Diceros bicornis minor: one gene and its partner. The protein of the gene in region 2 binds, or shares a complex with, the protein of the main gene of each other region. Links are inferred from orthologs where the notes say so. Each region holds a gene or a part of one and is shown on either strand. Other genes may lie near its edges.

Region 1 (7,769 bases), on a different chromosome or scaffold from region 2:
GTCATTCCACATATTATGGCATATGTGACAGGGGAATTCAAAGTATAAGCACTTAGAAAGAAATTCCTTCCTTATCTTTAGCTGATGAAAACTCAGTCTTTGAGAGTCCAAGATATGCCACAATAGTTAAATGGACAGTCAGGCAAAAGGCAAATCAGAAAAGGTTTAAAATTTAAAAGGATCAACATTCAACTATTTAGTCAAAAATAGAACCTGGTTTTCAATTTTGTCTTTCACACTGCATGAATGTGACAAGAAATTTATTATTCCCCAAGGCAATTTTTTCAGCACAACTGACAAGCACAATAACTATCTAATGTCAAGTCTAGATACATAAAGACAATGGATATTCCATGGTCTTGGGATCATCTATTTTCATATCAGAAAAACAGAATGACTGAAATATCCTTTGGAGTTGAACCCTGAATCTTGAAGGAAAAAAAAAATGAATATATACTCAGTACTATGAGTCATTTATAATAACTTTTCAAAGTCAAAATTAGTCTATTTTCCAAAGGTGAAAATGATTAGGAGTCATTGGATGATTAGCTCAGGTTAAAACAGCTGGTAATTAATAAATTGGGGGTTAGGACCCCAAATTCAGTGCCTCTCAAAAGTTGGTAACTGATGAAGATCGATAATTCTCCCATTCCCTCATCCTCATAAGGATTAAGCCTAGCCAAAGTAGAGAATGCAGAAAAGCAAAATAGAAAAAAGTCAAAATTGGCCAATTTGGCTACCTGGTTTAAGATTGGTTAACACATGGTTTTCAACTTATGTAAAGGTTTCAGTTATTCATGTGGATAATTCAGAGATAATATAGCTCTCAAGTTTAGAACATCAGAACCATCATCTACTCTTGATGCCTTAACAATGAGAAACAGTTTATGATGGAGAATTCAGTTTTGGTTGGCTGGGTGCCTAGCACCCCAGATCCCAATACGCCCCTGGCTCTTAGCATTATGATCCTAAGAGGGGCAAGCACCAGCGAACACAACTTCAGTAAGAAAGCACGTACCTCGCCGAAACCAATCATAACTGAACACAAAAAGCTAATAATCTGACACTATGGTAGAAACGGTACCAGTTGGGAATTGGAAGACTACCTTTCCTGACTCTTGTACATCAGTCACGCGGTCTTAAGTCATTTAACTCTGGGCTGCAGTCTCCCAGTCAGCCAAAAGAGGATACCAATTTTGCCTGCCTCACACAGTGCAGTAAATCTCAATGCTTTAAGTGCCATAAAAATGCTATACAAACAAAGGACTTTTCAAATAAAATACTAACATCAACATAAAAGATAATTTTAACGTGCATTTAGGAAAGATTAAATTCCACCCAACATTTTCAAGGAAGAATATTTATTTATGGCACGGAGTTCTAGTCCGATGCATCTTAATACACAATAGCATATACTGTTACTGAAAAGCTTTTCGCTGATAAGCTTAGTAATAGAAAATATTTAGAGGCAGAAAAAGTTGGAGATAATTTGCAAAATAAAAACAAGAATAAAATGAAATACTACCTAGGTCTTGTTTGGCTACAGGTCCTGCCAATAGAAAATTTTTAAGAGCAAGAAAAAAATTTTTTTCAAGAGCCAGATAATATACAGTTCCATGAAAATGATCAAAACAGCTAAGTAAAGAATATTTTCAAGGGGATTCTATACTACAAACATACAAGACTGTAAGGGACTTTGAAAGCTGTAATGTACTGTACAAATATAATTATCACAACTCTCATCTCTACATGACAGGGCTGCTACAGATTTTCTACATCATATATACCAAGTCATTTCTAACAAATAATACACAAAAATATTTTGAGCAAGCTTGACTCAAAATTTAATCAGGAAATCTAGGTATTATGAAGTTCTATAAATTAGTGCCTGGCACACACTTTTATTATTACTTTCGTCCGTTGGGACTTAGAAATTTGGGTAGTTTGCCTAAGTTCCACCAATGAGAAGTGAAAATACCGATCACTTAGCTATAGCTATCTGCTAAGACAATGTAAGACCTAAAAAAAAACGTCTAGAAATACACTCAGCCAAACCCTTAAAATTTAACCTCATCCTCCTTATCACAAGCCACCTCGTGGACTGCAATTTCTTTCCCCAATTTGCCTAAGCACATGCTACTGAATAACGAGTAAATAAATAAAATTTAGCCATCTTGAAAAGATTTTCACACATGGTTTTTTCTGACGGGGTTTTAAACGTCTACAATATATTTATCTATTACAGAAAACTTAATTGTCAAAGTTTAAAAATCATAAAACGGGTAGAACTTGTGGTGATAAGACCTGTGACTTCCATTTACCTTCCTCAGCAATGGAATTAGCTAAATTCTAAGAAATGAAAAACCGTCAGACGGACAACTCACGACCGTAACACGCTCATGAAAATACTTCTCTACCTCGGGCAAAAGAATCGTTTTTTTACTTTATAAGCACTGTTTTTTAAGATTTTAACATAGTCCTTTGGGATCAAATATCCAACTGACTTCATCAAAACAAGAACTTGGACTTTTCCACTGTGTGTTCCCTACTGACTCATGAAACATGGTTTTAAAAAAATCAACTAGTAACAGACTTACAGGGATGCAAGATGAGACTTTAAAATCTCACGAATATCTCGAAGTAATTGAAAAAGAAATTCTTTTTTTACGCAGAACGCATACAACCATTTAAAAATGGAAGTCTCCGGGAGAACGCAGCTGCAGTCATACCCAACTGCGCGACGTGAAATCTGGGCAACTAGCGCCGCTTCCCTTCCCTGGCTCAACTCGTCAGCACCGCCAGTCCCCGGATCCGGCCGCGGGGGTGGGAGGGGGCGACACCGACGCGGGGACAGGACGCCACCGAGGGGGCGGCCTCCCGGGCTCGCCGGCCCGCGGGAGCGCTCACCTCGCCCCCGGCGACGCAGAACGGAGGTAAGACGGGCTCGGGGCGGCGGAAGCGTCCCCGCAAGAGGGCAGGCGGCGCGGCTAACAGGGGGCCAGGGGGCCGGGGGCCCGGGAGCCCCGAGCCGCCCTCGGCGCTCTGTCCACCCCTTCCCGAGCCGGGGCGGCCGCACCTCAGCCCTTGGGACCCGGAGGTCCTCGCGGCCGCTCCACACCTACCTCTCCGGACGGAGGCCGCGCCGGCGCCCCTCAGTCACATAGGCCGAGGCCGCGCTGCCCCTGCCGCCCAGGCCGCCCGACCGCGCTCCGCCGGCCCCCGCGCGCCTCCTCCCGCCGCAGCCCCGACAATCCCCTTTATTTGCGGGTCTCGCTGCCACAAAATGGCGCTCAGGGAGGAAGCGAGGCCCCGCCGCCCCACCCCCTTCCCGCTCCTCCCGCCGCCACGCCCCGCCCCACCCGCCCGCCGTCCGCGTCTCCGCCCCGCCATGTTCGCTCCGGCCCACTCACCGACGAGTCGCCTCCCAGAAGCGGCCGCACTACCCGGCCACCGCAGGGCCCCGCCGCGGGGAGGAAGGCGAAAGGACCGCGCCCGGCCGGCGCCTCGAGGCGCCCAGGGAGGAGCTACGTCTTGGTGGCACGCCCCGCGGCCTCCGGGGCGCCGCAAGCTCGGCAGGGCGGGGAGGGAAGCGGGCCGCCGGGAAGGCTGGGCCGCGAGGTCGGAGGTCAGCTGCGGGGCATCACGGGAAGGGCGGCGGGGGTCGCGATTGGCGGCGCGGAGGGGAAGCGCTCGCCGGGCCACCTGCGGCTGCGGCGCGGCCTCTGGCGGAGGAATCTGGGCGAAGGTGGCGTGTGATTGGCCTCTGCGGTGCAGCGTCCGTCTGTGATGCCTCCGCGCGCCGGTGGGCCAGGTGCAACCCCGGGAGCGGGGCCGTGGGCGGGGACTGGGTCGGTTTAGGCTTCGGTCAGCTTCCCTGTTTAAATTTTCATCTCTTAGAAACCAATGCTCCCTCTTCCGTCGTGAAGTGCAGCCTCCTGGCCGCTTGGTTCGTCCCTGCCTTGACATCTCGAGGCGAAACCGAGGAGCTATTGTCTGGCAGATGGAGGTTGTGCTAGGGGCACCTTGCTAACTCGGAAGCGAGGCGAAGGCGAACCCTGGGAGGTTTTAATGAACCCATTAAAATAAGTTTTGTAATTTGAATATACTGCCCTACACAAGACTTTGTGTCATCCAGACCATTGCATAAGAACGATGGAGTTACCTGGTAAACGTATAACAGCCTCTTTGCACTTGCTACACGGGTCAGGTAATTCTTTTGATTGGCCTGCCTTTATCCGGCTTTACCCAAACTGTTTATCCCCAAAGGAGGTGTCCCGGAATGAGATGATTTATGAGGATAAGATTAAAGTATGCTCCAGATGGTCAGAGGGATCATGGTGTATTCCCAGGAAATCAGATCAGTATGAAGAAAATATTTGCAGCTTACATCACAGGAACTCGTAAAAACTGAAAAGAAAAAGACCCAAATCCGAAGAGAAAAATGGGCAAGGACATGAAGAGACAATTCACAGAAAAGAATAGCAGTGGTCCTTAAAGGTAAAAGGCTGTTCATCCTCCTTACTATGGAAATGCCCATTGAAATTACAAGGCTCCAGAGAGACGGTGTTCATAAGTTTCCTGGTGGGAATCGGAAAATGATTCAAGCCCTATGGGATACTAACATTATATGTGCATTTACTCTTGTATCTTGCAATTCCTTTTCTAACCCCAGCCTTATGTTGAAAATACACCTCCAGAAATAGAAACAACACTTAGGCAAGGTTATTTGTCGCAGTGTTACTTGTCATAACAAAAGTTTGGAAATAACTCAAACGTCCATTAATAGGGAACTGGTTGGACATGATGCATCCTTACAATGGAATATAATGCAGCCATGAAGAAAGAATGAGGACAATATTTATGTGTTGCTTTGGAATGAGTTGTAGGTTATATGGGAAATTGGAAGGATATCCTAGAAACAATAAGAATGTGACCTATAGAGGGTGATGGGGAGGGGTGGAGGGGAAAGAAATGATAGCAAGACTTCTTGTAGCAGGAAAAACCCGGGACCCTGTCACTGCAGCCGACTCAGTGAACACAATGACCAGGGATCGAGGAAAAGAAAAATGGTTTAATTTTGCTGGCAAAATGAGGCTGCCATGGCTCATGCGCCAAAACCCACAGTCCTCCTGAGGCATTAGGAGTTGGGGTTTTTAAAGGAAAGTCTGTGGGAAAGAATGTACTCTTGTGACTGTGATTATTTTCTGGGGGGGAGTATAGTGGGGATCCCAGACCTTCTGGCACTGGGCCAACTGTTATCCCTATCTACAGTAGGAGGTTTAGGGCTCCGTTGATCAGTCTTCCCACTCCACCTCTAATTGGGCCCTGGGGAGAGGAAGGCAACTGCTGCCAACTAACGATTACAAAGTTTACAAGTTTTAGATAGGAGAGGGGGAGCTGTGGCTTTGTAGTTCAGGGTCCTCCCATCAGCCTGCGTGCGTTTGGCGGAGATGAGGGAAGCTGCAGGTGTCCTCTGTCTCCGTGATGAATGGTGGATTCAGCGCCAGGAACAAGGGAGTTGCGGAGCTTCAGCTTCTTGGTAACTTTTGGATGTCAGTTTCCCTACAGCAAACCTCAAGAACTGGTCATTAGCCAGAACTTCAGTGTGAAGCCACCTGGGCTTTTAACAATTTAAGCAGGGAAAGAGAATGAGTGCTTTTTGGTTTTTAACCCCATATATCCTGGGTTCAACTTGGGTAACTGATATCAGGGCCGGCATCATTCTCTGACTTTGAACTTTTAAAGTTTTACATAAAGTAAATAATAAAGGAAACAAAGTAAGCCCCAAGTTGAAAGCAAATTAAAACAAATGAACTTTAAGCAAGTTGGTAACATAACTATGTTGTTACACAGAAAAAAGAGTTCTTCCACCAGGGCTTTTGAACAGAGTACTTTGAGAGAGTATCTGTGATGGGATATATTCTAAGGATAAAAAAGAAATGCAAAGGAATCTTTAGCTTCACTCAGTGGTTTATAAGTAATGGTAATATTGGTGCTGTAGTTTTGAAACTATATTGTAGGATAACACAAGTATTTTAATGTTATAATGTACAAGACTTTCAGTGTAAGAGAAAATGAGATGCAAATATAAGATGAAGGAAGTGCAGAAAGAACCTGTGATACATTTAAATTGGAAATATCAATTTGAGCACAAGATTTTTATAATAAATTACCTAGTTCTGTGCACTGAAAGGAAGCACTAGGGTAACAAATTGTCCCAGTTTGCCAGGAACTGAGGGGATTTCCCGGGATGCTGGACTTGCCCTATTAAAACCGAAAGTGTCTCAGGCAAAGCAGCATGTTTAAATCACGGTACAGTAACACTGAGCAAACTTGCCACCCAGATCAGGGTTTCCAAGTTCCATTTCCTCCTAGATAGATCCAGCGCTGATTCCAGTTCTGCGACAGGGAAATGACAAGATGAGTCTGATATTTTTGTTGTGCCTGAATGCAAAGGAAGGCTTTGACTAATGAAAATATGTCAATAGGACTTAAAAGACCAATGTAACCTATAGTGATAGAAATCAAAACTGTGCTGGCTAGGAGGGGAAAGGAGCAGGAATCGACTGGAAAGGAACATGGGGGAACTTTTTCGGGTGATGAAAATATTCTACATCATGATTAGGGTGGTGGTTACCCCGGTATATACATTTGTCAAAATTCATCAAACTATACCACTAAAGTGGATGCATGTAATGTAAATTATACCTCATATAAATTATTATTATATATTATACCTCAATGTGGGAAAAAAAGAAGACCAACCAGATGAGAAAAGCAAAGGCTATTTATTCAGAGCTTGCTATAGCAAGGGAGTCAGCCACCATCACTTGTGTTGGGCAGAGACTCACAGGCAGGCAGAGGAGTGGGAAAGCTTCATAGTGGAAAAGGAATGGTGTGCCTGATGGAGGCTGTGGGTACCGAGAAGCTGGAGGCAGCTAACTAGAAGTGGGGCATCTGTGTGATTGGTTAGGTGTGTATTTGGTTTTCTCTGGTTGGTTCTAAGTTGGAAGAGGGGACAAACATTAGGGAAGCTGTCACTTTTTAATCAAGTCCTGGCCATTTTCAGCTGATTGTTACAGAAGGTATTGTTTAGTTTCCTGGATTGTTACTTGCGATAGTCTGACTTCCTCCAGGTTTGACTTATAGCAGGCTAACTTCCTGGGCTGGTTATTATAGATGAGGGGGCTGGTTTCCTGGGCAGGTTGCTGCAGGTTGTGGGTCAAAATTCTATTTTTATATGTGGTCTGGCCATGTCCATTTGTATATTCGAAAGTAAATAGTCTTCAAAAGTAAATTTGAAAAAGACACAGGAGCCAGCTTGAGGGATCTCCTATAGGCCAAATTTAGGGCCATTTCAGCATCAAAAAGAAAATGACTACAATTGATTGTAAATACCAAATAGATAAAAATCTATGACTCTAGGGGCTGGCCTGGTGGTATAGTGGTTAAGGTCACGAACTCCACTTCGGTGGTCCAGCGTTCACTGGTTCGGATCCCAGGTGTGGACCTGCACACCGCTTATCAAGCCATGCTGTGACAGGCATCCCACATATAAAGTGGAGGAAGATGGGCATGGATGTTAGCCCAGGGCCAATTTCTCTTAGCAAAAAGAGGAAGATTGGCAACAGATGTTAGCTCAGGGCTAATCTTCCTCATTAAAAAAAAAAAATCTATGACTATAGTTATACTTGATGAGTGAGAAAGGGGGGCAGGGGACTATTTTTCCATCATTGGAAATGACTATTACAAAACTTCTTACTCTGAAA
Region 2 (8,372 bases):
CCTCTCCATCCCTGGTCGCTGGGCTCCAAGTCCTTTTAGCCCCATACAAATGTTTCTGCACTGACCACAGCCAATCTTTCCCACGTCCTGCCTTCAAGGACAGGAAGGCAAGCCTTGCACTTGAAAGGAGAGCAGCCAGAGGAAACGTCCTCCGATGCTTGTTCGCTGACCCAGAGGACTCTACTTCAGGAGGTGCTCTCAGCAGCCAACCCCCCCCCCCCCCCGCTCCCGCCACTGGGAAGCAGGAAGGGGCGGGCCAACCACCTGGGCCAGGCTTCCGGAAGTCGTGAGGAAATGCAGAACTCTTCCAAGAGTGGGGGACAAACCTCCTAAGCCCTCTTATTGCGAGGCGGGATGGTTCTGATCCCAAAGCTACGGCACCTAGCCCCGGCGCTTTCCTGGGTCTAAGACGGCAGCCCGAGGTGAGCCCTTCCGGTGGGAGGTCCTCCAGCCCAGAGCCTGCAAGTTGCCTCCGGTCAGCCGGGGGTCAAGCGAGCGGGCCCCTGAGCTGATAGGGAACTCCGGGCTTGGGCAGCAGGCCTCGCAGACGCTTCTCCCCCCGCCCACGAGATCGTTTAAAAAAAGAAAAAGGAGAGAAACCTCTTCCGAGCCTTGCCTGCGGTCGGCCGCCCTCCCTGCCTGCCCTTGGGTCGCGGGTGAGCCCAGAACCCCTGACTTTCGCGAGTCGGGGCCCTGGGCGGGAAAGTCCGCGGGGTTCTTCGCGCATGTGTGGGGCCCACAACAGCGGATGCGCGAGACAATTCAGCAGGCGCGGCCGGCGTCCGAATCCGACTCCATCCCGCATCGCCCGACTTCGTCCAAAGCCGCTGCCCCAACCCAACATGGCGGCTTTTACCGCTTCCGCCGCCTCCGCGGCCGCTTCCTGAGGACGGCCCTGATTCAATCAGCGGCCGACAACTGTCTAGGGCCGGGGGCGGTGACGCCGCCAGCCAATGGGGAAGGGCAGCGTGGAGCTGCCCGTCTGGGCTCCAAGGCGCGTGGACCAATGGGAGTGAGGCGTGTGGGAGGGTGCCCGGGGTCGCCCGCCAATGAGGAGCTACGGCGCGCGGCCGGGACCCGGAGGCTGCGCAGCGCGGCGGGCGAGGTTCACTCGGGCGGCGGCGGCGGCGGCGGCGAAGCTGGAGGATGTGGGCCGCAAGGGGGCTAGCGGTGGCGCTGGCCCTGAGCGTGCTGCCGGGCAGTTGGGCGCTGCGGCCGGGCGACTGCGAAGGTGCGGCGGGACCGGGGTCCGAGCTCTGTGGCCGGCATGGCGGCGGCGCTGAGCCCAACCAATCCACGGAGCGGCCGAGAGGCCGGGTCTGGAACGGGCGTGGGTGGCGGCGGCCGGCCCCAGCGGGGTCTGCCTGAGGAGGGCCAGACGCCGGGCCTAGAAAACATTTCGTGAGTCTAGAAAACATTGGTCCGACGCGAAAAAGTTGGGACTAGATCATGCTGAAAACTTGGCCTGAAATTGAGATAACGCCGGAGTTTTTGTCCCTTCCCGTCACTAGACAGAGACTTTCGGGAGCGGCCCTGGTCCGGATCGGCAGTCCTGAGGGCCGGCCGTGGGTACCTGGTGGGGTTGCGAGGCTGCACCTCGGGGTTCGGTGTTGTGTTTGGAAATGAGCAGCATTTGGATCGTTTTACTCTTAGGCCTCCAGTTGGTCTATTTATGAGGTCACAGTGAGTCCATCTCAAGGACACGTGTTCAGTCTCGCTTTAAACTTTATGGAAGAAGCAGGGGAGAGTTTGTGGGTCATGGGGTGATGCTCGTTCCCCGCATGCCCTGGGTGTACCAAGGGACCCCAGCAACCTGGAGCTGGGTTCTGCCCACCTGTGGGCACCTGAGAAAAATCGATGATGGAAACACTCGCCTGTCTCTGTCTTTCCTATTAAATTTGCTGACGGGTTTCCCTCCTGGTGGATTGGGGTGCAACTTGGTGATTGCTGAGCATCTCACTTCCCTCTCTTTTCCAGTGTGTATTTCTTATCTGGGAAGGTTTTACCAGGACCTCAAAAACAGAGATGTCACATTCTCACCAGCTTCTATTGAAAAAGAACTAGTAAAGTTCTGCCGTGAAGCAAGGGGCAAAGAGAATCGGTTGGTGAGTAGCTGGTGACCCTCCCCAGCTGGCCTTTCCTCTGCGTCAAAAGCACTGCCCACTTGTCTATTTAGGGGGCCAGCTATCTGTCAGTGAACTAATGCGGGAGTAAACTGCTTTCATATATTCTGCAGTTGTGATGTTTTTCATCCTGTTAATATTGATTAAGCACCTACTGTGTGCTCGGCACTGGGGATATCGGGAGAGAAATGACAGTCAGGCAGACAAATGATGCAGTGGGATGGGTGTCATGAAAAAAAAAAACAGACCAGGATAGTATGGTAGAGAGGGCAGGTGCTGATTTAGACAGAGTAGTCAAGAATCTATCTGAGGAAGGATCATCATTGTGGTGGGGCAAGAGCATCCCAGGAAGAGAGAACAGCCAGTGTGAGTACCCAGAGGCCAGAAGAAGATAAAATGTGCACAGGGTAGTCCAGGGCTGAACTGAGGACAAGAACTCTAATGAAACGATGGCTTTTGTAGCTTTAATTTCCCGGCAGTCTTAGTTTGTCTGTCTCTGTTTAAATGTTTGAACCCTGATGGCTCTCAAACTTATATGGTGGTTGTCAGCTCTGGGACCAAGCATGTATTAAGAGCCGGGGGTTTACACTGATAGAATCTGACTGCCAGTACAGGCAGGGCATGGGGAATTGAGGCCCTGGCAGAGAAGGAAGATGTTTTGAGATGTCAATGTGTTTTGGAGGAGATGGCTCTCGAGTGGCACCTCCTGAAAGGCATTGTCTTTTCTTGCTGCAGTGCTACTACATTGGGGCCACAGATGATGCAGCCACCAAGATCATCAATGAGGTGTCAAAGCCCCTGGCCCACCACATCCCTGTGGAGAAGATCTGTGAGAAGCTCAAGAAGAAGGACAGCCAGATCTGTGAGCTAAAGTATGGTGAGTGTGGCCAGGCCTTATTTAACACACTGTGCCCTCTCTGTGCTGAGGCATTATGGAGTTTACTTTATAGCTGGGAGAGGCGGGGGATAAACTAGAGCCGTCGTGAGTGAGTTATGTAGCATAGTAGATGGTGCTAAAAGAGGAGGTGGGGGCGCGGGGGGGATCTTGCATCATGGTGGGTAGAGGTCAGACTGGGCCTCAGACTTTGAAGGAGGTGGGAGATTAGCCAAGGGGACAGCTAATGGAAGAGCATTCCAGGCAGAGGAAATAGCGCACAGGCAGCCAGTGGCATGACAGATGGGTGGGCAAGTCACAGAGGGCCTTGCAGGTTGGTGAAGATTGGGCTTTTAGTCTGAGTGAAGTTGGGAACATTAGTTTTTGAGCAGAGAAGGGATGTTTTCTGACTCGGGTTTAACACACTTGTCCTGGCTGCAAGCTCTGAAGGCCCAGCAATCTTGATTATTTTGAAAAGAAATGCTGTATCCAAACAGGCAAGCCCAAGAGTTTTGGGCACTGCAGCATCTCTCTGGCTGAATAGGTCTCTGGTAGAAAAAACAGTGTCCAGGTCTTTAGAAGGAGTCAGGGCCAGAAATAGTTGTCCTCTTTTGCAAAATTTAAACAGCACCAACATATTTTATTGTGACCTAAGTGTCCAAGGGCCTGTGTTCCCCTACTTGTATCAAGGATGCCTGGTTTTCTGAGAGTGATCCTTGGACAGGTGCAGTTGACTCAAGGTCTCTCTGTGATCACAAATGGTCATGAGAGTAAGCTCCTGGCTCAGGGGCCTGACCAGGGCCTGTGTTGGGAAGTTGGGGCTAGGGATCTGTCTGCTCTGTCACCCTGGAGTTTTCATGCTACAGTGACTTGGCCTGTACCGTGACTATGTAAGAGGCACTTGGGAGAGTGGGAGCCACATTTCTCCTGTAAGGTTCTTTGTGGCCTTCATCCCTGTCCCTGGCGACACTGCATATCTGTGGTGGACACTGCCAGCATGAGACCAACCTTCCTGGTGAAGAGGCCCGAGCCTGTTCCCCATCTTGGGGGCAGTGGACACTAGCACACCTGGGTGTGTCTGGATATGTCTCTCCCCTCACGACCACTAGGGTTGCTTGTTTTAAGGGGTGATTTGGCTGTGCAGGGGCGATCCATCTTGGGACTATTGGGGGTCCGTGGGTGCTCCCACCCAGCTACTTACTCTCCCTTCTCTCGCCTCCAGACAAGCAGATCGACCTGAGCACAGTGGACCTGAAGAAGCTCCGAGTTAAAGAGCTAAAGAAGATCCTGGACGACTGGGGGGAGACGTGCAAAGGCTGTGCAGAGAAGTCTGACTACATCCGGAAGATTAATGAACTGATGCCTAAATATGCCCCCAAGGCAGCCAGTTCACGGACTGATTTGTAGTCTGGCCGATCCCTGCTGCACCTGAGGGAAAAAAACAGTTCATCTGTGTCTTCCCCAAACAGCATTTTTGTAATTTATTTTTTAGGCGGCTCCTGACAATGTCAGTTGTGAAGCCTGGAGCTTTCCTGATGATGCTGGCTCTACAGTGCCCCCATGGCGGGATTCACTTCGTTCTGTTGCTGGTTTACTCTAGGACTTCAAAGTGTGTCTGGGATTTTTTTATTAAAGGAAGAAAATTTGTAGCTGTCCTTGGAGAATTAAAGTGAATACTGAAATAGGGTTTTACCCCTAATGAAGATCCCACCAGTTTATGCTTTCCGGTTTACAAAGAGTTTTCAGGTATATTCACATTTGTCCCTCAACCACAGGGCTGGACCAGGGGCTGAGGCATGTGGTGTTGTGCAGGACTAGAGGGGAGCCCTGGAGAAGGCTGGGCTTGATACCCGACCCTGCAGTGACTTACCGGCAGGAGGGGCTGGAGGCTGCACAGCTGCTTGCTAGGCATAGGGGATTGAGTCTGATGTACAAGGGAGGGGCTTACCTCAGGGCTCGGTACCCACAGGACTGAGGGTGTGTTTAGTGTGGTTTTCTGGGATGATGACTTCAATAACTGTATATTGAGTGCTGTCATATTTCTAAAGATGCTCTTGGCCTGTCTACCTCCACCAGACACTGTCCAGATCTGGCCATCTACTCACTCATCTGAGTTTGTGGTCTAGTGTCAGTCCCAAGCTTCTAATGCCTAATTGGGGTTTTTGTAAGACTGGCAGGAGTCGGTTTGTACAAAGAGCCAGTGAGAGGCTGCCTTTTGCCTTTTTTACCCAAGATAAGTCTAACAGTTGAGGTCCTGATGGCTTGTCCCCAGAGTCTGATTTTTTAGTTGCTCTCTGTGGGGTTGGTGCTTGGGAAACCCAGTTGTCACCATGAGCTGTGGCTTGATGGAGATACCTCTGTTCCTTGGGCCTGCAGACACTGAAAGGAAGGAGTAAGAAGCTGTGCTTTCCAAGGAATTGGTCTGACCTCCGATCACAGCATTTGTGCAGTTCCTAAATTCAGTTTGACCATAGAAGGGGCCTCAGCTGCTGTGGAGTCCACTAATGCTTGGCAGTGGCAGTCCCACGTTTTGCACCTCTGCAGCACTGTTTCTGAGGAAAGCGAGAAAGTTGAGCCACTTCTCTGGCCAAGACGATCTGAAAAGCACAGTGTCTGTCCTAAGCCCCTGAAAGGTGCTGGGAAAATCCATGGCTGGAGCCAGAAGTCTTAGGAGATGGAGCTGTCTCAGCTTACCACCCTAATCTGTGATCCGGTGGCCTCCGTGCCCTCCAGGCCGCATTGAACAGAGGAACAGGGAAAACAGCCCAACTACTAAGCTCTAGGGCTGACCCCCAAGGTTATCTGAAGAGGTTAACTCCCTTTCTGGAAGCAGATTTCAGGAGGTCGTGCAGTGTTATAGGTGTTCCTTCCAAGACCTCTCCCCTCGCACCTGCCTGAGTTGCTCCAGGAGCTGCTTTATGGTTGTGGGAGGAACTGTGGTGCACTCTTCCCCACCCCATGGTTTCTGTGGCTGATGCTGGGTCAAGTTCTCCGATGCCTCTAGCAACTCTCCCTGAAGAATGAAAGCTTCCTCAAGGGGCTTGGGCCCCTGGACAGGATTCCCCCTCACCTCGAGAGAAGAGGTCCTGCCCCTGGAGGTGGATAGGAGGGCACTGGGCAGCGAAAGGTAAGTGTGTCAAGCTGTGGTAGCTACTGGGTTTGGCCATCTGTTCGCCCCTGGCTCCATGGCCCTGCCGTTACGGCCCGCCGTCTACTCGGATGCCCACAGCATAGTGGCTCAGTGGCGCCAAGGAGCTTATTCCCATCCGTAAACTGCAGATTGGTTCTCGGGTCTCTCTTCCTGGGCCCAGACAGGTATCGTCTTCTGCATGCATAGTCATGGTCATGGCCTTTCGGGGGACCGATGCAGGTGAACCTGAACGCAGAGAATGCCCGGACGGGGCCTAGGGAGCAGGGTTCTTCTGTCCTCGGGGTTGTCAACTCCGGACTCCAGTCAAGAGATGCTGTGGCGGGGAGATGGGAGCCACCCAAGCCTAGTCCTAGTCCTAGTCCTTTTACACCACATAAGAGGCCGCTGGGTCAAGACCCAGCACCTGGGCGCCCAAGGAGGTTGCCTGCCACTCCTGCTCCAATCAGCACGGGCCCCAGCCAGGAGCGGCTGGCCTAGGTCCTGCCTCGCCTGCTAGGGTCGTGGGCAGTGCGAGCCAGCCCGGATCTCGCGTGGAATCCCATCTCTCCTCGTAGCCGCGGCCGCGCGGTGGCGACAAAGCTCACTGCCCGGCTGCGCTTGCCCGGCTGCGCTTGCCCGCCTGCCATGGAGTCACGTGGCGTGGGGCGGCGCAGCCCGATGACGTACGCTCAGCGTAGCTCTCGCCCCGCCCGCCTCGAGGTCACGTGGCGCGGCCGGCGCAGCTTGATAGCGCGACGCCCAGCCCCTGGGCGCCGCTGCTGCCCCGCCCCGCCGTCACCGCCGCACCGAGTCCTTTTGTCCAAGATGGCGGCGCCGGGGGCGCCGCTTCTTCGGCCGCCGCTGCCGCCGTTCTGAGGGGCCTGCGGGCCGCCCGCCCGCCCGCCGCGCCGGCGCCATGAAGAGGCAGAGCGAGCGAGACTCGAGCCCGAGCGGGCGCGGCTCGTCATCTTCGGCCAAGCGGCCGCGGGAGCGCGAACGGGAGGCGGAGGCGGGCGGGCGGCGGGCAGCGCACAAGGCCTCGGGCGGCGCCAAGCACCCCGTACCGACGCGGGGTCGCGACAAACCCCGCGGTAGCGGGGGCGGCGGGGGTGGGCATCGCGACGGCCGCGGGGCCGGGGACGCGAATCACCGTGCGAGCAGCGGCCGCTCCTCGGGCTCAGGCGCCGGCGGCGGGGGACGCGGGGGCAAGGCCTCGGGGGACCCGGGCGCCTCAGGCGCTTCGCCCCGCGCATCCCCATTGCCGCCACCTCCGCCGCCTCCCGGAGCCGAGCCCGCGGGTCCCGGCTCGTCGGCGGCCGCGCCCGAGTACAAGACGCTGCTCATCAGCAGCCTGAGCCCCGCGTTGCCCGCCGAGCACCTCGAGGACCGGCTCTTCCACCAGTTCAAGCGCTTCGGCGAGATCAGCCTGCGCCTGTCGCACACGCCTGAGCTGGGCCGCGTGGCCTACGTGAACTTCCGGCACCCGCAGGACGCGCGCGAGGCCCGCCAGCACGCCCTGGCCCGCCAGCTGCTGCTCTACGACCGCCCGCTCAAAGTGGAGCCCGTGTACCTGCGCGGCGGCGGCGGCGGCGGTGGCGGCGCCGGTGGCGGGAGCAGCCGGCGAAGCAGCAGCAGCAGCGCCGCCGCCTCCACGCCGCCCCCCGGGCCGCCCGCGCCCGCCGACCCGTTGGGCTACCTGCCGCTGCACGGCGGCTACCAGTACAAGCAGCGCTCGCTATCCCCTGTAGCTGCTCCGCCACTGCGGGAGCCCCGCGCCCGCCACGCCGCTGCAGCCTTTGCCCTGGATGCCGCCGCTGCCGCCGCCGTAGGACTGTCCCGTGAGCGGGCCCTGGACTATTACGGGCTGTACGACGACCGCGGGCGTCCCTACGGCTACCCAGCCGTGTGCGAGGAGGACCTGATGCCTGAGGACGACCAACGGGCTACACGCAACCTCTTTATTGGGAATTTGGACCATAGCGTGTCTGAAGTGGAGCTGCGACGGGCCTTCGAGAAGTACGGCATCATTGAGGAGGTGGTCATCAAGAGACCTGCCCGTGGCCAGGGCGGTGCATACGCCTTCCTCAAGTTCCAGAACCTGGACATGGCCCACAGGGCCAAGGTGGCCATGTCGGGCCGGGTGATTGGCCGCAACCCCATTAAAATAGGCTATGGCAAGGCCAACCCCACCACTCGGCTCTGGGTGGGTGGCCTGGGACCTAACACCTCATTGGCGGCTCTGGCT

The links.
Region 1: RBM15B (region 2) and WTAP share a complex: the UniProt entries of both Homo sapiens proteins name them as parts of the WMM complex. The link is inferred for Diceros bicornis minor from reciprocal best matches to the Homo sapiens genes RBM15B and WTAP.

What each region holds. Positions count from the first base shown.
Region 1 is NC_080778.1:10,089,691-10,097,459, forward strand, and holds the start of WTAP (pre-mRNA-splicing regulator WTAP), read right to left. Parts: upstream 3,555-7,769; 5' UTR 3,411-3,554; intron 3,235-3,410; exon of another isoform or gene 3,123-3,234; intron 1-3,122. UniProt on the Homo sapiens protein: Associated component of the WMM complex, a complex that mediates N6-methyladenosine (m6A) methylation of RNAs, a modification that plays a role in the efficiency of mRNA splicing and RNA processing.
Region 2 is NC_080741.1:52,147,636-52,156,007, forward strand, and holds the start of RBM15B (putative RNA-binding protein 15B), read left to right. Parts: upstream 1-4,717; 5' UTR 4,718-7,043; coding exon 7,044-8,372. Other genes in the region: MANF (mesencephalic astrocyte-derived neurotrophic factor), read left to right, coding at 1,147-1,231, 1,978-2,105, 2,859-3,000, 4,220-4,404. UniProt on the Homo sapiens protein: RNA-binding protein that acts as a key regulator of N6-methyladenosine (m6A) methylation of RNAs, thereby regulating different processes, such as alternative splicing of mRNAs and X chromosome inactivation mediated by Xist RNA.